Linked DNA regions of Arabidopsis thaliana. The protein of the gene in region 1 interacts with the protein of each later gene in a pairwise test. Each region holds a gene or a part of one and is shown on either strand. Other genes may lie near its edges. The genes, in order: GASA5 and AT3G44590.

Evidence for each region.
Region 2: the proteins of GASA5 (region 1) and AT3G44590 interact in a two-hybrid assay, tested with the Arabidopsis thaliana proteins (one large-scale study listed by BioGRID).

The regions. Positions count from the first base shown.
Region 1 is NC_003074.8:628,889-640,879, forward strand, and holds GASA5 (GAST1 protein homolog 5), read right to left. Parts: upstream 10,291-11,991; 5' UTR 10,124-10,290; coding exon 10,046-10,123; intron 9,886-10,045; coding exon 9,852-9,885; intron 9,617-9,851; coding exon 9,435-9,616; coding exon of another isoform or gene 9,422-9,434; 3' UTR 9,033-9,421; downstream 1-9,032. Other genes in the region: VTC4 (Inositol monophosphatase family protein), read right to left, coding at 1-16, 114-217, 302-382, 507-557, 643-698, 782-794; ILR1 (Peptidase M20/M25/M40 family protein), read left to right, coding at 3,105-3,464, 3,559-3,684, 3,933-4,247, 4,340-4,468, 4,573-4,971; AT3G02880 (Leucine-rich repeat protein kinase family protein), read left to right, coding at 5,931-7,221, 7,409-7,726, 7,820-8,094; AT3G02890 (RING/FYVE/PHD zinc finger superfamily protein), read left to right, coding at 11,940-11,942. UniProt on the Arabidopsis thaliana protein: Gibberellin-regulated protein that acts as a negative regulator of gibberellin-induced flowering and stem growth. May inhibit flowering and inflorescence growth via a pathway involving GAI and by enhancing FLC expression and repressing FT and LFY.
Region 2 is NC_003074.8:16,158,397-16,170,258, reverse strand, and holds AT3G44590 (60S acidic ribosomal protein family), read right to left. Parts: upstream 6,551-11,862; 5' UTR 6,375-6,550; intron 6,284-6,374; exon of another isoform or gene 6,281-6,283; 5' UTR 6,277-6,280; coding exon 6,189-6,276; intron 5,959-6,188; coding exon 5,738-5,958; intron 5,628-5,737; coding exon 5,601-5,627; 3' UTR 5,262-5,600; downstream 1-5,261. Other genes in the region: CYP71 (cyclophilin71), read left to right, coding at 1,058-1,242, 1,410-1,495, 1,584-1,672, 1,879-2,118, 2,211-2,332, 2,620-2,695, 2,824-2,931, 3,013-3,189 and 5 more; AT3G44580 (uncharacterized protein), read left to right, coding at 9,256-9,747; AT3G44570 (retrotransposon ORF-1 protein), read right to left, coding at 10,424-10,506, 10,581-10,816, 10,904-11,118. UniProt on the Arabidopsis thaliana protein: Plays an important role in the elongation step of protein synthesis.

The DNA.
Region 1 (11,991 bases):
ACACACGAAAGGGAACCTACAAAAAAAAAACAGCATTTGTTTTTGTTTTTGATGAAATGGGCAAATGAAACACACAGGTCATTCAAATGGGAATTGATCAATAATGATAATACCCGTGAACGAAATTGGTTGTTCCATCAAGAGGATCAACAATCCAAGTTGGTTCGTCAGTTAGTTCTGTCACACCAAATGCAGCTGTAGTTTCTTCTCCTATGAACTAATAAATTATAGCAAAACTCTAATGATCAACGCGAGGAAGAAGCCAACAAAATGGGAATTCAAAAGAAGAAATAATCACCACCTTGTGATTGGGAAAGAGCTGCTTGAGATGATTAAACACAAGTTCTTCACATCCTTTATCAGTCTCTGTCACCAAATCCACCTAAAAGCAACAATTTAAGGAGCCATAGAAGATAATTTCAAAAAAAAAATTGACACTCTTAAGTAGCCATTCCCACTTATTGAGTGATTGAAACATTATCTGAGCGGAGGAAAGAAACAAAAACCTGGCCTTTGTGTTCAACATGTTTAGTCTCGTAAAACCCTTTACGAATGATCTGCAGAACGCAAACCAAAAGGAGCCAGATTAAATAACGATTAGCCAAAATATCGATCAAAACTCAAGGAGATCGAAAGATAGACCTGTCCAGCTTTTTTAGCGGCATCAATGGCGGCAGCCAAAAACTGATCTAGAGAATCTGCGTCAAATCAATGTCGCCCGAAAGAAAATGAGGAAACAGGGAAATCAAATAAGGTTTGCAGAGATTGATCGTGACTTTACCATTGTCCGCCATTTTCGAGAGAAGACGAAAAGAGTGATGCTTTCTTTACTTTGGGATGTGTTTCAGAGAAAACCAAAAGTTACGGTTTTTGTGGTTAGGCACAGAGCGAATATTCGAGGCATCTAATCTTATACTGTATTATATTAATTACCCAATTAGGCATCCGAAATCACCCAATAATCACGGTCCGATATGGGAAATAAGAGGATTTCAGAAAATCCGTTATACAAAAAGCTAACCAATGATCATTTGAAGATTAGATTTCACCTCAATTTTATCATCCAACTTTCTCTTGACAAAACCCGCATTCTGTAATCAGTTCTCTTTTCCGGGTCGGACAGACCCGAGTCGGGTTTGGACTTGAGACTATTGGACTGGACTCCTTATTCTGAATATGGGCCGGAATTCTTTTTTTTTAGAACAAGTGCATAACACGGAAGGAAAAAGATGTTCTAATTTATTCTGAATATGGGGCCGGAATGATATTGGTGCATACTTGTCTTTCTCTGGCTGGTTCACTTACATTGATGAGAAAAATGCGAAGAACACTTTGAAATCGGTTTGTGATCAAGAGACAAAGGAACAATCGTCTACTGCTTCTGCCGTTGTGTGGACAAGAAAAACTCATTCAACACCAAAATTATGTTGTTTTATTTTTCCGATATTTTACATTTTGTCTTATAAATCTCATGATATAACAGTAGCCCCTTTCTGAGAAGAGATTTGTTTTGCATACTTGTGTAATTTACATTTAAAAAAAACACAGATCAACAGAAGAACAGAACTAAACACTAACACTCTAAACGAGACCACCTCTCCAACACGAGACATCAAACGCCACACATACACAATCTCTGCAACCTAAGAACAGAACTAAACACTAACACTCTACAATCTACTTGTTCATTCTTGAGAAATCAAAAGTCTCTATTCACCTTCTTCTTCTTTCTTCTTCTTCGAGAGAAACGAAAATCAACAATCTTTTTCATCTATTTCTCTTTGGAGAAGAGAAGCAAAGCATAGAAATGTCCATCACTTTATATTATTTGTTGTATTCTCCATTCATAGGCAAAGAGAGAGAGAAAGATGTCTTCATCATAGCTAAGCTTTTGGTTGCCTTAGAGATAGTCTCGACCTTTCTCTCGTTCCAAGACAGCGATGACGCTCTCTGCTGCTCTCGGCGGAAGATACAGCCAGTCCCAACGTACATGGACTTTGAAGTAGGTACTAACATGAACGTAGACAGTGTTGTGGTTAGTATACTTTTGAGGATCGGATCATCAACCTTATCAGTTGATTCTTCAACTTAATTAAACTCATTATATAAAAAACAAAATATTTATGTGACCGTTAAGAACTTAATTGTGAAAGAAGAGGAAATAACAGAGAAAAAAGGGAATTGTAATGTGACCGTTAATTGTGATTAGCAATATCCCTTTTTCTCTCAAATAATAATTGGGGCATTTGCAAATCTTACACTTGACTTCCTTGAAAAGAAAGCCTCTGTTGCGTAATTACAATTTGCATTTTGGTTGTATGTTTGTGATTGTTTCATAGGTCTATTCCACAACTTTTTACCTTTTTTATTTTTTTACTCTCCACAACTTTGTACCTATAACTAAATAATATAAAGTCACAATTTTGTACGGATATTCTGATGTTTCATTAGTCATTTACATTTTTATTGATTATGTTCGCATGTACAGCTACTTTCGTAAACAGCTTCTTTTGTACGAATTGTTCTAGAGAATTTTCGATCATAATCAAAATATAAACAAAATGTTTAACAATGCGCTTCAAATAGGTGGGCCTTTGTTATAAGTAATTTAAAAGTCGAAGAACCCAATGGCCTATATGTCAATCAAATACATGGGCCTATGTTATAAGGAATTAAAAATTTAAGAACCTTAAAGGCCTACATGTGATTCTCACAACTCTAATTCATGCCATGTTTTATTTTAAAAGTGTTAATTTTCATTAACATAAATGGTAAAATCGTGTATTAAACGTACTAATTCATTTCAAGTAAATATTCCTTTTATACCGTAAATATACTACATTGTATCATTTTCATATTTTATCTTTGGTATTTCATTATTTTCTTCACATTACAACCATAAATTATGAATTTCACATTAGAGGCGTATACGTATTTAAAAACGATTAAAAGAGTTTCCAAAAACGTGTGTAAATTACGTACTATATAAATATTAAAAATGGATCGGTGATCCAACTCCTTCTCCTTCATCATCATCGTATTCACCGTTGTCCTTTCTTTCATTGACACTTGCCAGTTTACATCGACAAACAAAAGAAATCAGAATGGATTTCTCAGGGAGCTTCTTTGTCATCTTCGTTACCTTCTTCTTTCTCCCTCCTCTGTCTTCAGCTGGGAGCTACGATTCTGGTTCGGGTCTCGAGTCACTCGCTCGCGGGATGCTTCATTCAGCCAAGGATCCTGAGTTCTTCGAGTGGATGAGAGGAATTAGGAGAAAGATTCATGAGAACCCAGAGACAGGGTTTCAGGAGTTCAAAACGAGTCAACTCGTTCGAGACGAGCTTGACTCGCTTGGAGTGAAGTATAAGTATCCTGTGGCGAAGACTGGCGTCGTCGCTTGGATCGGATCCTGTTCGAAACCTGTTTTCGGACTTAGAGCCGACATGGACGCACTTCCGTTACAGGTTTGAAATCTAATAATCAAAGTTCCGATTTTTACTCTGATTTTTAGATTGCTTTGTTTGACTAATGAATTTGAAAAAATGGGGACAAAAAAAGGAATTAGTGGAATGGGAATCGAAAAGTAAAGTAGATGGAAAGATGCATGCTTGTGGTCATGATACTCATGTTGCTATGCTTCTTGGTGCTGCTAAGCTTCTTCAAACCACAAAACACCTCATCAAGGTCTCTCTTTTTTCTCTTTCACTCAATTTATATGTATAATTTTGAATGATTCTGTCTGTGCCCTGCAATTAAAACTCATTTCGATGTGGGTTAGTGTTTTCTAAGATTCTTAGATATATGTGTGTGTATGTCTTTGATTGCTAATTGTTATGTGTGTGTGTTTTCTAGAGTTGTTAGTGTGTGTGTCTTATGAGAGTTTGGTGAATCTTATGAGGGTTTTGAACGAAAACACAATTTTTTTGCAACAGGGGACAGTAAAACTTGTGTTTCAACCAGGCGAGGAAGGTTATGCAGGTGCTTATGAAATGCTAAAAGACGAGATTCTAGACGACTTAGATGGGATACTCAGTGTTCATGTCTTTCCATCGATCCCATCAGGTGGTATTGGTTCTAGGCCTGGGACCGTTCTTGCAGGTGCAGGATTGTTTACAGTCACGGTTCACGGTCAAGGTAGCCACGCAGCTACACCGCACTTCTCTAAAGACCCGGTTCTTGCAGCTTCTTCCGCTGTTGTTGCCTTGCAACAGATTGTTTCGCGGGAACTGGATCCACTCGAAGCTGGTGTAAGTTTGCTTTCCACTTTCAAAGCATTGGTGTTTGATGAATCAGAATCTTGGCTGAAATCAGCGGAGATTGGTTTTTTTATGTTTCTCAGGTGGTTACAGTTGGATATATTGAAGGAGGTCATGCTCAAAACGTAATACCGCAGAGTGCGAAATTTGGAGGTACTTTCAGAAGCTTAAGCAACGATGGGCTTCTATTTATCCAAAGACGGATCAAAGAGGTAAAGAGATTGTTTTTTACACCATTTTTCTATACAATCTTGTTCTACTATTCGAATAATGTAGGTCCCTAACCCTGTTTAAATGTTTCTTGATGATGATGCAGATTTCAGAGGCACAAGCATCGGTATACCGATGCAAAGCAGAAGTAAACTTCGAAGAGAAAAAGCCGTCGCTTCACCCGGTAATGAATAACGACGAGGGCTTATACGAGCACGGTAAAAAAGTAGCGGAAGCGATGATTGGAAAGAATAACTTCCATGATTTCCCGGTGACAATGGGAGGAGAGGATTTCAGCTTCTTCACTCAAAAGACTAAGGCTGCGATTTTCGTGCTGGGGGTAAAGAATGAGACGCTAGGCGCTGGTAAGCCGCTTCACTCGCCTTACTTCTTTGTTGATGAAGAAGCTCTTCCTGTTGGGGCTGCTCTTCACGCAGCTATGGCCGTTTCTTATTTGGACGAACATGGTCATAGCCATGAAGAAGAGGTTAAGAGTGAATTATAGAAGGTGTTGGGAGAAAATCAGCTTATATTAGTCATCATCTATTTGTATTTGAACTTGAAAGTTAGGTGAGGTTAGGTTTCGGGTTGGGAAGAATGTTTGTTAATAGTCACGAGAAACCAACCACTTCTATTAAAATAAATTTGATGTAAGAGTTTTAAAAATTGAACAATTGAAATCTTCAAAATGAATACCACTTCTTAAGTTCTCTGTTGACCATTTCTATTACCTTCCTTTCAAATTGATACAACAAATACATAAAAAAAAAAAAAAAATGTCTATGGTACAAACTTATATCAGAAATAAAAACGGTGTCGGAGAGGCTAATCTTTGTTTGTCAACGGTAGCTCAGACACATTTGACAGACCTGGCATGTCTTTGGTCACACTCAACCTGCAAAAAAAAAAAACATAAAAGAAACAAAACGATAACGACCATTAATTTTTTAATTAGACCTAATTTATTGATCTAATACAAAAGAAAGGAAAAACAGAGGTCGTTTAAACGTCTACAAAAAACATTACTGCAGTGATTTATTGTCATTTATGTAACGCAAATATAGTTGACTCTGATAAAATTGTTACAACTAGTATTCATAAGTCATAACCTTATAATTAATTAATTATCTTTCTGTAAATTAGCTGTCAAATTAAATACATAAGATTCTCTTTTAACTTTTTTGTCAAAAAGGAAATATTCCAATTAGTAACTTTTCTTTTTTTCCTTTTTCTCTGCAATTATGACCATTTTCTCTCTCTTAGCCGGCTCTAGAGAGAGAAGAAAGACAGAGCTGAAACTCTTGTAAACCAAAAAACACAAAAGTCTCTTTGTTCAAACACTCGTTTACGCGTAGCCGAAATAAATTTTCCAAAAACCCATATCCGAAAAAGTCGATATATTTATTGAATTTTTGGAACCAAGGAGACGAAGAATTTACACGGTTTTTGAAGAAGAAGAAGAAGATGAAGTATAAGCGTAAGCTAAGTCTCTCTGTTGTCTTCCTCTTTGTCTTCTATCTCGCTGCGGTGACTTCAGATCTAGAGTCTGACCGGAGAGCTTTACTCGCTGTTCGTAACAGTGTCCGTGGCCGTCCTTTGCTATGGAACATGAGTGCTTCTTCTCCTTGTAATTGGCACGGAGTCCACTGCGATGCGGGTCGGGTCACGGCTCTCCGATTACCCGGATCTGGTTTATTCGGTTCTTTACCAATCGGTGGTATTGGTAATCTAACCCAGCTTAAGACTCTTTCTCTCCGGTTCAATTCTCTCTCTGGTCCTATCCCTTCGGATTTCTCCAACCTTGTTCTCCTCCGTTACTTGTATCTTCAAGGTAATGCCTTTTCCGGTGAGATTCCGTCGCTTCTCTTCACGCTTCCGAGCATAATCAGAATCAATCTAGGGGAGAATAAATTCTCGGGTCGGATCCCGGATAATGTCAATTCTGCGACCCGGTTGGTTACTCTGTATTTGGAGAGGAATCAACTCTCTGGTCCGATCCCTGAGATCACGCTTCCTCTTCAGCAATTCAATGTTTCTTCTAATCAGTTAAACGGGTCTATTCCGAGTTCGTTGTCGTCTTGGCCTCGAACTGCTTTTGAAGGTAACACTCTCTGTGGGAAGCCTTTAGACACTTGTGAGGCAGAGAGCCCCAATGGTGGTGACGCTGGAGGACCCAATACGCCGCCGGAGAAGAAAGATAGCGACAAGTTATCCGCCGGAGCTATTGTCGGGATTGTGATCGGATGTGTTGTTGGTCTGTTACTGCTTCTTTTGATTCTGTTCTGTCTCTGTAGAAAGAGAAAGAAAGAAGAGAACGTTCCATCTAGGAATGTTGAAGCTCCTGTCGCTGCTGCGACTTCCTCCGCTGCTATACCAAAGGAAACGGTGGTTGTTGTCCCGCCGGCTAAGGCTACGGGGTCGGAGAGTGGTGCGGTGAATAAAGATTTGACCTTTTTCGTGAAATCTTTCGGGGAATTCGATTTGGATGGATTGTTGAAGGCTTCAGCTGAGGTTCTTGGGAAAGGAACAGTTGGGTCGTCGTATAAGGCAAGCTTTGAGCATGGGTTAGTGGTGGCTGTGAAACGGTTAAGAGATGTTGTGGTGCCTGAGAAAGAGTTCAGAGAGAGATTGCATGTTTTGGGATCAATGAGTCATGCCAATCTCGTGACTCTGATCGCTTACTATTTCAGCCGTGACGAGAAGCTTCTTGTCTTTGAGTACATGTCTAAAGGAAGCTTGTCTGCGATATTGCACGGTATAGAATAGTAATCTCCATTTGTGCATTTGTTTATTTTTAGGGTTCTTAGTTTAGCTGATGCTAGTTTGTGATCTTGATGGACCTGGTTTGGCTAAAATTGACACTGATTACTGAATTGTTTCATAGTTAGTTTATCTTATGTGTCTTCAAGCTCGGTTTTGAAGCTCTTTTAATGGATTTGTAGGGAACAAAGGAAACGGGAGAACTCCGTTGAACTGGGAAACCAGAGCCGGTATAGCCTTAGGAGCTGCAAGAGCGATTAGCTACCTACATTCGCGTGATGGGACAACTTCTCATGGAAACATTAAGTCCTCGAACATACTATTATCTGACTCCTATGAAGCTAAGGTCTCTGATTACGGTCTTGCTCCCATCATTAGTTCTACATCTGCACCTAACCGTATTGATGGCTACCGTGCCCCTGAAATCACTGATGCTCGCAAAATATCCCAAAAAGCTGATGTCTATAGCTTTGGCGTCCTAATCCTTGAATTACTCACAGGTAACAAACAATCAAGGATAGATATATCTTTTTAACTGCTTTTTTTGCAATTGCTGTGGTTTCTAGGTTTTAACATGGAACATTACATTGCAGGTAAGTCTCCAACGCATCAGCAGTTGAATGAAGAAGGCGTAGATTTGCCGAGATGGGTCCAATCTGTTACCGAGCAACAAACACCGTCCGATGTGCTTGATCCCGAGCTCACAAGGTACCAACCTGAGGGCAATGAGAACATCATTCGTTTATTGAAGATCGGTATGAGCTGTACGGCTCAGTTCCCAGATAGTCGTCCTTCGATGGCTGAAGTCACCAGACTCATTGAGGAGGTTTCTCATTCATCTGGCTCCCCAAATCCTGTATCCGACTGATTTTTTGGGGGTCTAAATTGATTGATTTGAATATTGTTTGGGGTCAAGTTGCAATTTCTTGAATAGTGTCGACCCCACTTCCCGCCTTTTTTCTACTTCTTCTTCTTTGTTCTTGTTCTAGTTTGTTCGTTAATTCTTGAGCCTCAAATTGAGATGAGACCTATCAGTTTCTTTTTTTCTTTCTTTCTACTTTTCTTTATTTCCAAAGTTTTAAAAATGTCTATAAAACTATTGCTTTTGCTAATTTTTGTATAAATATATAGTTGATTGCGTGTGAATAAATTGGTTTTTGTTTTCTTCTTTACACATCTTATCCCAGAATCCTAGTCAACGATTCAGCCAAAAAACAATGTCAACGAGTTTTATTTTTTATCGCCGTCCAAAATTTTGAGCCAAAAACAAAGTCAACGACAAAAGTGGTCATGAATATCGTCTCACGATTGACTGACAAATACTTCACGATTTGATTAGATATGAAGTTTTATAATGTGAAGTTGGTAACCACTAACTAATAACCCTACTTCACAGGAGAAAGAAAAAACATTTTAGATATGAAAAAACAACATTGACCCAGAAAGATATATATTTGCTTAGAGATTTTGTATGAAAGAATTACTAGTGCTGATAAACTATTTAGTTCAAGCTTAAAGGGAAATCGATTAGATAATTTTTCGAATTATTTGAAGAAAACATATTGTGATCTGGACTTATAATTTTTCATGTGATATACCATTTACACCGAGTCATGGGCAGTTGCCACAACTTTATCTCATGTTCCAACTCGTACCAGACTGGGTACATATGCACATGGGGTTCAATAAATTTATTAGTGGGATACTCTTTGACATAAAACACTATTAGGAAAAAATGGAATTAAAACCTATTCATAAATTCATATAATTACGCACGTAAATAATGTTTTTCACAGTAATATTAGAATTTGACCTTAGCAAGTTGATGGTTTTTAAACCGTGGAAGCAAATAGAACATGACTTCCACATACAAACATCATCAACACTAGAGATAAATCATAGATATAGAAAATCATATTTATGACTGAAATATTAACAATTACAACTTAATGGGCTTTATGGCTACATTTTTGTAGGCTCAAATCAATTGATAATGAAGCCCATTTCATAAATATGTAACCATAATAAGTTCGGCCATGACACATTGGGCGGGCTTACACGTATAACAAACACAACAGTTAAGAGCAAAAGACACAAAAAAAGTGTAGAGACAAATCGCCAACTTGTAGAAACAGATTAAAACAGAGTAGTAAGTGTTTGATAATCCAAAACTAGATGAATATTATCAAATATATCTAAAAAGAAGTTTTAAGGACATTTTGGACGGCCTTCTTTAGTCTTCCAGTTGTTGTAACATGGACAAGTTTGTTTGTTGCCGAAAGTGCCAGGAGGAACACAAAGACATTTTTTGCAACACTTGAGGCAAAAGAACATGCATGGCTTCTTGTGTGATGTTGCTGAACAACGGAAGCTACACTTTGAGTTGCACTCTACAATTGAAGTTTCCATCAAAAAAGCATATCACAACAAACAAACAAAAAACAAATCATTGAGATCTTTATGTTCATGCTTATAATTCACAGCATACAGTATACTAGAAAACTGACATTTCACAAAATAAACACCATTATTGTTACTTTAAAGTTTATTTATCAACATTATCAATAATTAGTGATTAATAAATTAATATGATCATATGAAACAACAAAAGTTTTGAGTCCGTACGTTGGGGTTTGAGTTTGCCACCACCACGAGCAGCCTGTCATATATATATAAAACTTCAATATCAGAAAACTAATAGCCATTAAATTTTTAAGGAATGTATAGCCTTTGGTCATTTTTACCTCCACGAGCAGCCTGTAATATATAAAACTTCAATATCAGACTTTAATAAACTGAATCTGTTTTGAGTGGTTTACCTGAACGAGGTTGGAGACTGACAATAAAAAGAGAAGAGTCAAGAAGAAAAGAGCATTTCTTCTGATACAATTCGCCATTTTTTTGGTTAAAAAATCTTGATTGCCAATGAATGATTCTTAAGAAACAATAAAACGGATTAAAGATATTTATAGAGAAAATGATTAGTGTGGATTTCCTTCAATGGTATTCAAGAAATTTGGTATTGCCAATGTTCATGCCGTGATTCTGGGGAAGTAGGTCATTTTAATTTCTAATTACGTACCACACTTGTCGTTTTTGTCTCTTAGACAATGTCAAAGACTCAACAGTGTAAATTACTAATCACTAATTACCCACGTATAGAGAACCAAAAGACTAAAATCTTGCCTTGGAAAAAAAAAAAAAAAACATTTCTCTCAGTGAAAATTGGAAAATTATATTGTGTAGTTGACTAGTGTCTAAACGCTCTGTTTGGAAAATGAAAATGTCACTAATGATAATATCTGTATATAGAAAGGGGAAAATAAGCGAGTTTAGGAAATTAATTAAGCTAATTGTGAAGTGCGACTAAAAAGAAAAAAAAGTGTAATAGAAAGCGAAAAATGCGGCGAAGTTGAGCATGTGATCTTTGTGGGCCATTTCATTGATTTTTTGTTTTGTCATATTATTTGTGTTTTTAGTTTTAATGTAAAAAAAATCTGATTAATTTTAAAAGGACTGGACAATTATTAATGGACATCACCATAAAATCTGTGACCATAAATTTTTATAAAAGGCCCATTAGCCCAACGGTTTTCCAATTACAGAATTTGGGCTGAAACGGCCGAAAATAATCTTAGGATGACGAAATGGCCATTTTGAAATTCTCTTCTTCGTTTGGTCTATTATTTTATTTTTTAACGTTAACGGCCTAACAAGTTTTCCTAACTTAAAGATAAGTGGGAACAGATAAAACAATTAAAATTAACTTCCAATGAAATTACCAAATTAACAATTAAGTTAATAATGTAATTCTAAATTAGGCTTAAGAAGAAAACTTAAATATTTATGTTTATATAATTATCTGTCAGAAGTGCAGAATTCTTATTTTTCCAGAGTAGAGAGGAGTGCTTTCATGGCGGTAAAAGGTAAAATACTAATCACTGTAAAAATCTCTTAACTCTTGCGTTGTGTTTAATACTAATAGACTAAAATTAGTAATTAATTTATAAATAATTGCGTGTGTATATGCACGTATGTCCGTACGTATCTACGTGTAGGTCCTAGATATAGAGAATCCTTGAGGTGGCTATTTAATAGCAGCTCTCATTATCTGGGCTCTGTGTTTTGAGGAAAAGCGATTTATCGAGAAACGAACTTAGGGCCACGCCAGAGAGAGAGAGAGAGAGAGAGAGGGAAATCGAATCTGGATTTTAGAGGAACTAGGGTTTGTATTTGTACTGCGAAAATCAATTAATGGTAAGTTTAGGGTTTTGTTTCTTCTCGATTGGCTCATGCTGATAGTGATTAAGATGATGATTGCGGAAATCCAAATGTCGAGGAAGATGATTTTGAGACCTCAACAATGCAATCTTATACTCTGATTTTTCGGAGTTTTTAGAGACTAATTTGCTTGATTATCGTTAGATTCCTTGTTTTCTGGAGTTATAATCGTGATTTTATTCAGAGATTGGTCACTGTCCTTTGACTTTTCTTTGTTTTTAAAAAAATAGTAAATTATGTGATTTCCTTGAGGGTTCTTAGTTAGAAATTTTGTTCAGTTTGCATGTTATACCAATGTTGTTAAGCAGCATGATTGAATCATCTGGGATTGTGGTTAATGTTTTTGTTGCAGTTATTAATTATGCTCTTTGTTCTTTCTGTTCACAGTTGGATTAGCGGATTAGAAGTCAGTGCTCATCATTTCTGTTGTTTATGGTAAGTTTATCTGTTTTTTGTATTAGCAATTGTTTGGCTTGTTCTTGCT
Region 2 (11,862 bases), about 16 Mb from region 1:
GAAGTTGAAACATAGACTGCTTTCAAGTTTCACCAAAATTGAGTTTAGGTATTACGTTGAATCTGACAAATGGTTTAAGGCTAAACCCCTATTAGGACAAACACTGAAACTGAGGTTGACCAAGAAACATCTCGAGGATAAGAGTCCATAGTCAAATAAGAACAAACAGTAATGGATAAAGTAAGTGATAAGGAGGCCGATTAGGAGCAGCTGCTATTTTTTGTTGTAAAAACTTTGGTTATTATGATTTTAATTGTAAAAAATTGGCTGTAGAGATTTTGACTATGGAGAATTTAATTATTAAAATCTGATTAGTAACAAAAAAAAACTGTAACAACTTATTTTATTATTATTAAATATTTTTTTATAAATATAATTTATGCTAAATATGAATTTATTTGAAAAATTAGTGACTAAAATAAATTTATTATGAAAATTACAAAATTCATAAATAAAAAAAATTATTTTACAAATTCACTATTTTAAATACTCCATCTGTTTCACAATATAAGTTGTTTTAGCTAAAAGCACACAAATTAAGAATATTTACTTTTAAAAAGTTCTACCAATCATAAAAGAGAGTGCATAATATAGATAATCATAAAATATTAAAATAATATATAATTTGTATTGAAACTTGAAAACAACTTATATTGTGAAACAAAAAATTTGATCTAAAATAACTTATATTATGAAACGGAAGGAGTATTCAAATTGGATCAAAAATAAAATAAAAGTCTATTTAATTAATCAAAATTATTTGATAATAAAATATAAATTATTTATATATTTATTTATTATTCTCTCTCAAGATAAAACTCGATTTATTACTTTTATGAATTAGGAGCTGAAAATTCTGCAAAATACCCAATTGGGTCAGGCTCATAAATTTATATATGGGCTTAAAAATAAGGCCCAATAGATATATTTAGTTCATGAATCTACTTCTCTTCTCTATTTATTTCACTCACTGTCTCTCTCTGACAATTCGAAGTTGTAGCAAACCTTGCTTTCAATCGACGAAGGAGTTTTGAGTTGAGGAAGTGAGTAGAAATCAATGGAGGAAGAATCTAAGAATGGCGGAACCACGATTCCGACTGAAGAATTGGCGGTGGTTGCGGTGCCACCTGTAGTAGAAGAAGAGGAGCCGATGGTCGGACCTGGACCAGCTCCACGAGGCAAACGCAAGCGTCCGCTTCAATTCGAGCAAGCTTATCTTGATTCGCTTCCTTCTGCTAATATGTAAGTATGTCTTATGCTTTGGAACCCTCTCTGTTCCTAATCGAATCAAGTTTTGGGGTTTAGGGTTTTAATTTGAGCTTATTGGTTTAGTATTGTTGTTGGTATATATGAGCTTATTATCTGTGAATTGGTATTGAAAAAGTAACTCTTGTATATTTTTTCACTAGGTATGAGAAAAGTTATATGCATCGAGATGTAGTTACACATGTTGCTGTTTCAGCAGCTGAGTTCTTTATAAGTGGAAGTATGGATGGTAATGTTTCTCATCTTTGTGATATTTATGATTTCATTCTGGTTTTGTAATGGCAAAGCATAACATATGTATATTTTGCATAATCTAGGTCACTTGAAATTTTGGAAGAAAAAGGGTGTTGGTATCGAGTTTGCTAAGCATTTCCGCTCCCATCTCGGTCCAATTGAAGGTCTAGCGGTAAGTATCGCGAGTGGTTTTTAAGATACTGTCACCTCAAATCCAGGCATATGCTCCATGTTTTGAAAGATTAGCTTTTTATTTGTTTATTGAATGAAGATAGTTGACCTGGCGGGGAAATTATAGTTAGACATGTTATGGTTTCCGCAATTTTTTTGTTTGTGTCTAGTTCTATTATCAACCAATGACTCGTTTCAGCAATGCAGGTTAGCATTGATGGTTTGCTTTGCTGTACAATCTCAAATGATCATGCTGTTAAAATATATGATGTTGTCAACTACGATATGATGGCCATGATCCGTTTGCCATATATTCCTGGTGCTGTTGAGTGGGTCTACAAGCAAGGGGATGTCAAAGCTAAACTTGCTGTCAGTGACCGAGACTCTTTGTTTGTGCACATTTATGATCCTCGTTCTGGTTCCAACGAACCCATTGCTTCAAAAGAGGTTTGTTTCAATCTCTTTTTCTTTTGTTGTTATTTCTTGACTCATCATTTTTTATCAAAGCTAACAGTTTTTTTTAATCTTTGTATACCCAGATACATATGAATCCAATTAAGGTCATGAAGTACAATCCTGTTTCGGACACAATGATCTCTGGTGACACAAAAGGAATCATTGAGTACTGGAGTGCAACTACATTACAGTTTCCCGAGGATGAGTATGTCCTTGTCTCACTTCTTATCAAAAACGCTTTTATTATTCCATTTCGGTATTGCTGTTTGTTTTCTATAAATTGGAGCGTGTAGGATAAGAGAAGCATACCTGTTTTTCTGCGTGTGGCTAATGTAGTTAAATATCATATTACTGAGAATGATGCAAAGAGGAGCCTGTAGTAGAAATACTTTAGTTGCCAACTTCTTAGTTGACCATCTTTAGAATTTCAGTATAGTTGATGGGCTGCTTTCATTAATGGTTCACAGGTTGACCTTTTACTTGTTGTTGTAGGGTAAACTTTAAACTGAAGAGTGATACAAATCTCTTTGAGATTATAAAGTGCAAAACAACAATCTCTGCCATTGAGGTACTTATTTGGCATTTAGTATCCTTGGTTTTTCTTTACATCCTTAGAATGCAGCTATTAGCAATTGATATGTCTGGTGAAAATCATAATGCAAATTTGGTCTCTAAGTTTAGTGAAATTCTTTTCAGGTGAGTCCAGATGGTAAACAGTTTTCCATTACAGCTCCTGATCGTAGGATTCGTGTGTTCTGGTTTAGAACTGGTAAACTGAGGCGGGTATATGATGAGTCACTTGTGGTAAGGTTACATACTCTATGCTTCTTTCCTTACATGTTTTCACGTTAATCTGTCATGGTTAATGATCCATTCCACTATTAGGTGGCCCAAGATCTGCAGAGGAGTGATGCTCCCTTATACAGGCTTGAAGCTATTGACTTTGGTAGAAGAATGGCAGTTGAAAAGGAACTTGAAAAAACCGAGAGTGCTCCGCAGCCCAATGCTGTGTTTGATGAAAGCTCTAATTTCCTTATATACGCCACTTTTCTTGGAATAAAAGTAAGGAATCCACTTATTGTTTTCGTTTTAAATTACCATAGACTAGCATAACAGTCTAGACATGATAAGTATCCTGTCTCACATGCACATGATACAATTAACGAGCTTAAAGACCTGGGATTTTCACCTTTACTTAGGTGATGACCAAGATATAATGTGGTTACTTCTTTGTACCATATATGAAAGTGGTTATACTTTCTGCCAATATAGTGAATTTAGAATAAAAGAAGCTTGAGATTTTTTTTGTAAATTTGGGTGTCTAAGGGGTAGTGGGAGGAGCTCCATTATCACTAACCCTCAATATCTATGTATTTTCAGCAGATCATTATGTAAAAGCGGACCAGTTTTTATGATTTGATTGTATCAGAACTCTTCCATGCGTAGTAAATGGAATCATGACAAGCAACTGCTAATTTCTCTGTCTACCTTTTTGTTCTCTAGGTAATAAATTTACACACCAACACAGTTGCAAGGATCCTTGGAAAGGTGGAGAGTAATGAAAGGTATCTGAGAGTTGCATTATATCAAGGTGATCAAGGAGGCAAGAAAGTTAGAAAGATTCCTGCAGCTGCAGCAAATGTAAATGAAAGCAAGGAGCCTTTGACTGATCCGACTATCCTATGCTGTGCCTTTAAGAAACACAGGATCTATATGTTCAGGTACGTGACTCATATTGTGCTAGAATGACTCATCTTTATGTTGTGGGAGAAAGAATTATTTTTTCGCACCTTTAGATTCTACTTTGTAGAAAGACCTCATATGTTTTCTCTAGATATCCCGAGAACTACTTTGAATTTATTATCAACAAATTGGTTTCTGCAGTCGGAGAGAGCCAGAAGAACCTGAAGATGCAAGCCAAGGGAGAGATGTGTTTAACGAGAAGCCTGCTGCTGATGAACTTATGTCTGTCTCAGATATTGGAAACTCAGCCACAACATCCCTTCCAGAGAACGTGGTATGTTTTCATAACCCACAATGTTGGTATCTATTTTACTTTTCATTACGTACTGTAATTTGGATCCTTAACACAATAACTCTTTTTAACTCCTAATCATCCAGATAATGCATACTACGCTTGGTGACATTCACATGAAGCTTTACCCAGAAGAATGTCCCAAAACTGTGGAGAATTTCACAACACACTGTAGAAATGGCTATTACGATAACCACCTTTTCCATCGGGTTATCAGAGGATTTATGATACAGACTGGAGATCCTCTTGGGGATGGTACTGGAGGACAGTCAATTTGGGGCAGAGAATTTGAGGACGAGTTTCACAAAAGGTAAACATTTCTTACAGGCTGCTTTGAGTTTAGCCATCCGTTTAGAAACAAATGAAATCTAACTTAGTTTGATACGTTGTTCTTTTACTTGGCCTGCAGTCTAAGGCATGACAGGCCGTTCACATTGTCTATGGCAAATGCCGGCCCAAACACAAATGGGTCTCAGTTCTTCATCACAACAGTGGCTACACCGTGGCTAGACAATAAGCACACTGTTTTTGGAAGAGTTGTGAAGGGAATGGACGTCGTTCAGGTATGATTTGAAAACCAAAAAGAATATTTTTACTTGTTGGCTTAGTGTGACTTAGTGCCTAACCATAAAACCAAATGAACAGGGTATAGAGAAAGTGAAGACAGACAAGAACGACAGGCCTTACCAAGATGTGAAGATACTTAATGTCACCGTTCCGAAATCTTAGCATCTTTGCTACTGTCTCAAAGATAGTGAACAATCTATGCTGATCCGTAACCCCGTGATTGGTTCTATGCTGGGAAGTTGTTCTTGCGGAGATGGATCGAACTGTGGGATATGTTTGTTGTACCCGAGCAGATCAGGTTAAGTTGGTGGCATCATCTTCTTGACACTAAACATTATTTTATGTTTTTGTCAAACAAATTTTATGAGAATGCTTAGTGAACAAAAAGACTTCAACTTCTAATGTTACTTCAATTCCTCTTATTTTCTTGAAATAGAGTTGATCTACTTTCTTCTAATTTATCCAAGCTTCATGGGTTTATGTCTGAAACGACAACACGACAACACCAATGTTTGAAGTTAATAACATAGAATCTCAATTTCACTTGGATTTGGATTTTTCTGTTTATTTGGGATCACTAAAGATAAACTTTTCCATGAGTGTATCAAATTCTAGCCCTCTTAGGCACTTATTTTGTGATATGCTAACATACTATGAACTAAACTATGTAAATTACAAGCTTAGACCAGATTCAACATGTAAATCAAACGGAAAACGATAAATGAATAACCCGCAAGGTCGCAACATAGTTGAAAAAACTCTTCTTGCTTCATTATCTAAGGAGTAAAATTCGTAATCCAAGAAGCAAAAACCAGAACCACTAAGAGAACAAAAAATCAAATCTCGACTCCTTTCCGTGGGGACAAAAACCTTACTCGAAGAGACTGAATCCCATGTCCTGCATCAAAGGTGAAGGATATAACAAAGAGTCAGATAAAGACCAATATCAAGACCATAACAAAGACTAAGTAATAAGGAAACAAAATGATAAAGAGAGAAATGCTTTACATCATCAGACTCTTCTTTCTCTTCCTTCTTGGCTTCTTTCTTCTCCGCAGGGGCAGCAGCACCACCACCACCGCTTGATGGAGCAGCTGAAACAGCCACACCACCACCAGATGGCACAGACGCTAACTTCTCCCTACCAGAAGCAATCAGCTCAGCAATGTCTTTACCACTCACTTCTTTCAATAGAAGCTCAATGCTCTCTCCATCAACATCAGCACCAACTACATAACAAAACATAACAAACAAAGTCCTTTAATGAATCATATACAGTGAACAAAACTATCTTCTGTTCTTATACTCTTCAACAATCAAACTAAAACTCTTATAGCTAAAACAAAGCAAATACAGAATCTTCCCAAATCATCATTGCTACTACTTCGCCGATCACAGTAACACAATCCAATAAAATCAAAACACATTCATAAACAAATTCAAAAGCACAGAAATTTACCAGCTCCGATGATATCTTTGATATTATCAGCAGAAGGATTAGCGTTTCCGCCCAAAACGGCGAGGAGGAAAGCAGCGGCAACCTTCATTTTTCTGCTTTTAATACAAAACCAAAACCAAATCAAATTACTCAGAAATAGAATTAAACACAAGGGAATCGATTGAGAGACATTGGAAGAAGAGTTACCAAGAAGATTTGAGGAGCAGGAAGCTACAAGCTTTTGGTTGTTCGGAGAAAGTGAAAACGAAAATGAAGGAAGAAGATGATGAGTTAATTATATATAGTTAGGGTTTTCTTCGGTTTCCGGTTAGCTACGGTTCCGGTGTTACCTTCAATTGTTTTTTTTTTTTGTGGGGTTCAATTATGAACATTTAGGTTTTTGAATATTTTAGGTTTTTCGATATTCCGATTAATCATTTGATTAACAGTTCTGTTTGGTTCGGTTCCCTTTTGATTTTGGTTAGTTTGAATAGGGGTTTTATTAACCATTCGATTATTTTAGAAACTTTGGTTTAGATACGGTTTGGTTTAGTATATTATTATGTATTTTTAGAAACTTCGGTTCGGCTACGGTTCTGCTTAGCCACACATCTAAACTGTTCATTACTCGATCACTTATAACTTTTTTAGAAACCGATCTAATCGATCACTAGAGTTTTCTCCATAAGCGAAAAACTGATTTATGGTTATTTATTGATGCTAATAACACGATATCTGTTATACTGGTAAGGAATATATTTTTGAAATTTAAATATATACAATCAAGTAATTTCTTAATTTTTGATGTCCAACAACCCATCAATTGGCCAATTTTCGCTCTTTATGTACGCTTTCCTCAAAGACAAATGCTAATCCAAATATATCTCATGCATTCACATTCAAGCAATCAATCATTTAATCAAAACCATAAACTATACGTTTATACCCTACGCAATCATTCACATTCTACCAAATCATCAAGTAATCACAAATTGATAAACCTTATGAACCTTAAGCTTAACTACTCTGAAATTAAACGCTAAACTATATGATATGTTGCGTTTTTGGTGTCTTAGGTCTCTTAGTTTTGAGTAGTTTGTCGTGTCGTAGTCTGTCTTTTGCGTCTTTTCGGTTGTGTCTTGAGTCATTTGCAGGTTTTAGGTGTTTAAGCGGAACACAAATGTTTTCGGGACTTATCGGGCTCATTTGGACAAGAAACGATAGCAGGAATCGAGAAACCGGGGTCAGAAACATTGGATCGATCGATCCCACCACTAGATCGATCGATCCAAAACTCATCGTCGAAGACAAATCATCCGCCAGCTCGGGATCAATCGATCCTAGGTGGAGATCGATCTATCCACCACTCATCCACCGAAGTAAAATGTCCGCCAGCTCGGGATCGATCGATCCAACACTCTCGATAACCAGACCGAATTTCCTTAACCGGGTTTATATGTCTTTTTCTGTATTTGGGTATAAAAAACCCCAGGAACTTAATTTATCTTTTTACGCTTCTTTTTCAGTAACATTTCTAAAAACTTTTCTGTAAGCACTTTTGGGGATTAGAGATTCATCCTTCTTGACAATTTGGAGAAGATTTCTAAACTCTGTTCTTAATTATTCTATTTGAATCATGTTTTCTTTCATATCTCTTTGCTTGATTTCTATTGCAATGTCTGAGTAACAATTGGGTTTTAGGGTTCTAAGTAGGAAGTCAATGAATTAGTAACTAAGCTGTCGTAGGGAATTCTCAATCTTTAGGTTCTTCAATTTATGTGTTCTTAATGCTAGAATAGGATTGATCACCTTGTTTTAGAACTTAGGTTTTTCTATGCATTAAAAGTGTTCGATAGAATGCCTAAACGAATATAAATTGAGCATTGTATTTCTAGCCATCGAAAGTTGACGTTAGAACGCATTGTGAACTAAATAAACCAACTCATTAATGCCAATTAGGAGACTACAAACGAAAGTTTAGTAGTTGAGTAGTCAAATTTAGTGGCTAGTATCTCGAGAGAGAGTTAGTTTAGAATTATGTTTATGTTTCAGAACGATTCTTCATAATTGAATTCTCTATTTTGTTTATTATGCTAATCTTTGTCTTTTGAAATACCCTAACGCCCAATGTCTTTAATCCATAATTTTAATCGTTTATTTTCTTGCATTTTAATTTATAATTCAAAAACCAAACAAACAACGTTTTTGCTTTAGCTAAGAACGAGTCTCGGAAATCCTTAGAGTATCTTTGGTCCTTGTGGATCGACCTCGCATATACTACCTTGCGGTTAAGTTTATCGAGCAATTACTCGAGCAATCAAGTTGGCGCCGTTGCCGGGGATCGATCGATACCAATGCGTCAACATCATCTGCTAGAACATCATCGATCCAGTCGTTCCTTCGAGCTTCAACATCATCAGCCAGAACGGGATCGATCGATCCCACCAGTAGATCGATCTCAATTAATCCAAACCGATTGGATTTCTGCTAACCGGAATTGAACCAAACTCCACTTAAATTGAACCGGAACGACGAACAGTTTATCACCGGATCAAGTTTTCCTTCGCCATTCAAGAGCTCCACTTCAACTTCTTCGTTTTTTGTTCATCAAGAACACCAAAATCACTAAACCCTAACTCTCTCAATTCTTAGTCGTTTTTGTCAAATTTGGTGCCTATTTCAATCAGACTTTTCCTCTTTCCATATCTACTGTTTGTTTTCTGGATCTGCAAAGGTATGTGCTCGACATTCCCTTTTTTTGTTCTGTTTTCAAAAGTGATAAATCTCCAATTCCTTGAATTTTCATGATGTTTATGGGTTATCTGATGCTAGCTTATTGTCTACGATGGTTTTGGAAACCTTTTTAAGCCTTTAATTGCTGGATTAAGGCCTAATTTGAGATCTGAAAATTTCCCCTTTGGTAAAAAACGGACATGTTCATACACTTTGAGAAAAACGGATTTTAGAGCTTAGAACTTGATTATTCATGATGCATTGTTTAGTTTTAATAACTAAAATACAATGTTTAAGTTCTTTGATTTATTTTTGAGTGATTTCTTGACTTCACTTTGTCTCTTTTGCAAAAGGTATGGGAAAGACAAACAACGCTGCAAGAACTTCTCGAGCACGCACGAGCACTTCCGGAGCATCGGCAAAAGAAGATCCTAACAAGCGTCCTGTTATCGGCATATGGGATAAGGAAGACACAAAGCTACTGGCAGCTTTGAAGCATATTGATGTGAGGCCAACGCGAGTCGCTTCCAAACCTTCTCTACATGTGCTTGGCATGTACGATTATGTCGTGATGGTGTTTCAAACACTCAGTATAGGACGGTATTGGGAAATGGATGAGGATGTATATCCTAAACTTGTGAAGGAGTTCATTGCCACGTGTCGCCTCACGTACGCGAATCCAGAGAACCGAAAGCGAGTCAAGGAAAACTCACATTCTTTCTTAACAAACAGCATTACAGCAAGACATTGTTTGAGATCTGCGACATGTATAGATTTACGAAAGGAGAAGCGGTTGAGTTCCCGAAGTTGTCTCCTGCGGTTGCTGATGACTTTTGGAACACGATAGCTACAGAAACATATAAGTCGCGCACATCGAAGATAACATATATTAGGAGTCCTATTGTGCGATATGTTTTTGAAGCTCCTCGGTAGCGTTCTGTACTTCAAACCGGTGATCACAGCTGTGCCTGAGACCGAGTTACCACTACTTTTCTATGGGGTCAAACATCGACTAGGCGTCTACTCGATCTTCCAACTCCCAACACTAATGTAGCTGCGGTTTTGTGTGACACATTGGTGAAGATTAAGAATAATGTTCCTACATCAGCCGTGCAGAGCATTTTAGCTTGTACTGCACTTCTCCATTGTTCCTCGGCTGCAATCTAGACCTCTCTAGGGCTGAGTCATCCATTAAACGAGAGCGAATGGACTTGACATACCTGATTCATACTAGTTTCACCAAGCCAGGAAGTTGACTGTACCAATTTCTGGGCAGGGAAGGTAACACTTATTTCTGCACGATACCCAACCAGAATATTACTTCACTTCTCTCCGCGACGAACCTAGTGTTTGAACCTAACGAGCAGTACTTTGTTCCTAACCCTTCTGAGACCGTGTTAGATTAGTAGACAAGTGACAGTCTAACACTAGGTAACAAGGTACTGCTCGTTAGGTTTGAACACTAGGTTCGTCGCGGAGAGGAGTGAATAATATGCTGGTTGGATATCCTGCAGAAATAAGTGTTACCGTCCCTTCCTAGAAATTGGTACAGTCGACTTCTTGGCTTGGTGAAACTGGTATGAATCAGGTAGATCAAGTCCATTCGCTCTCGTTTAATGGATGACAAAGCCCTAGAGAGGTCTAGATTGCAGCCAAGGAACAATGGAGTAATTGCGATACCAGCTAAAATGCTTTTCGCGGCTGATGTAGGAACATTATTCTTCATCTTCACCAATGTGTCACACAAAACCGCAGCTACATTAGTGTCGGGAGCTGGAATATCGGAGTAGGCGTCTAGTAGATGTTTGACCCCATAGAAAAGCAGTGGTAACTCGATCTCTTGCACAACAGTGATCACCGGTTTGAAGTATAGAACGCTACCGAGAAGCTTCGCAACATATCGCACAACAGGACTCCTGATATGTGTTATCTTCGCTGTGCGCGACTTATATATTCATGTAGCTATCGTGTTCTAAAAGTCATCAGCAACTACAAGAGACAACTTCGGGAACTCAACCGCTTCTCCTTTCGTAAATCCATACATGTCGCAGATCTCAAACAATGTCTTGCTGTAATGCTGTTTGTTGAGAAAGAATGTGAGTTTTCCTTTACTCGCTTTCGGGTTCTCTGGATTCGCGTACGTGAGGCGACATGTGGCAATGAACTCCTTCACAAGTTTAGGATATACATCCTCATCCATTTCCCAATACCGTCCCATACCAAGTGTTTGAAACACCGTTACAACATCATCGTACAGGCTAAGCACATGTAGAGAAGGTCTGGAAGCGACTCGTGTTGGCCGCACATCAATATGCTTCAAAGCTGCCAGTAGCTTTGTGTCTTCCCTATCTCATATGCCGGTAACAGGACGCTTGTTAGGATCTTCTTTTGTCGGTGCTCCGGAAGTGCTCGTGCGTGCTCGAGAAGTGCCTGCAGCGTCGTTTGTCTTTCCCATACCTTTGCAAAAGACAAAGTGAAGTCAAGAAATCACTCAAAAACAAATCAAATAACTTAAACATTGTATTTTAGTTACTAAAACTAAACAATGCATCATGAATAATCAAGTTCTAAACCCTAAAATCCGTTTTTTCCAAAGTGTATGAATATGTCTGTTTTTTACCAAAGGGGAAATTTTCAAATCTCAAATTAGGGCTTAATCCAGCAATTAAAGGCTCAAAAAGGTTCCTAAAACTATCGTAGACAAGAAGCTAGCTTCAGATAACCCATAAACATCATGAAATTCAAGGAATTAGAGATTTTTCACTTTTGAAAACGGAACCAAAAAAGGGAATAGCGAGCTCATACCTTTGCAGATCGAGAAAACAGACAGTAGATATGGAAAGAGGACAAAAATCCGATTGAAATAGGCACTAAATTCGACAAAAACGACTAAGAATTGAGAGAGTTAGGGTTTACTGATTTTGGTGTTCTTATGAACAAAAACGAAAAAGATGAAGTGGAG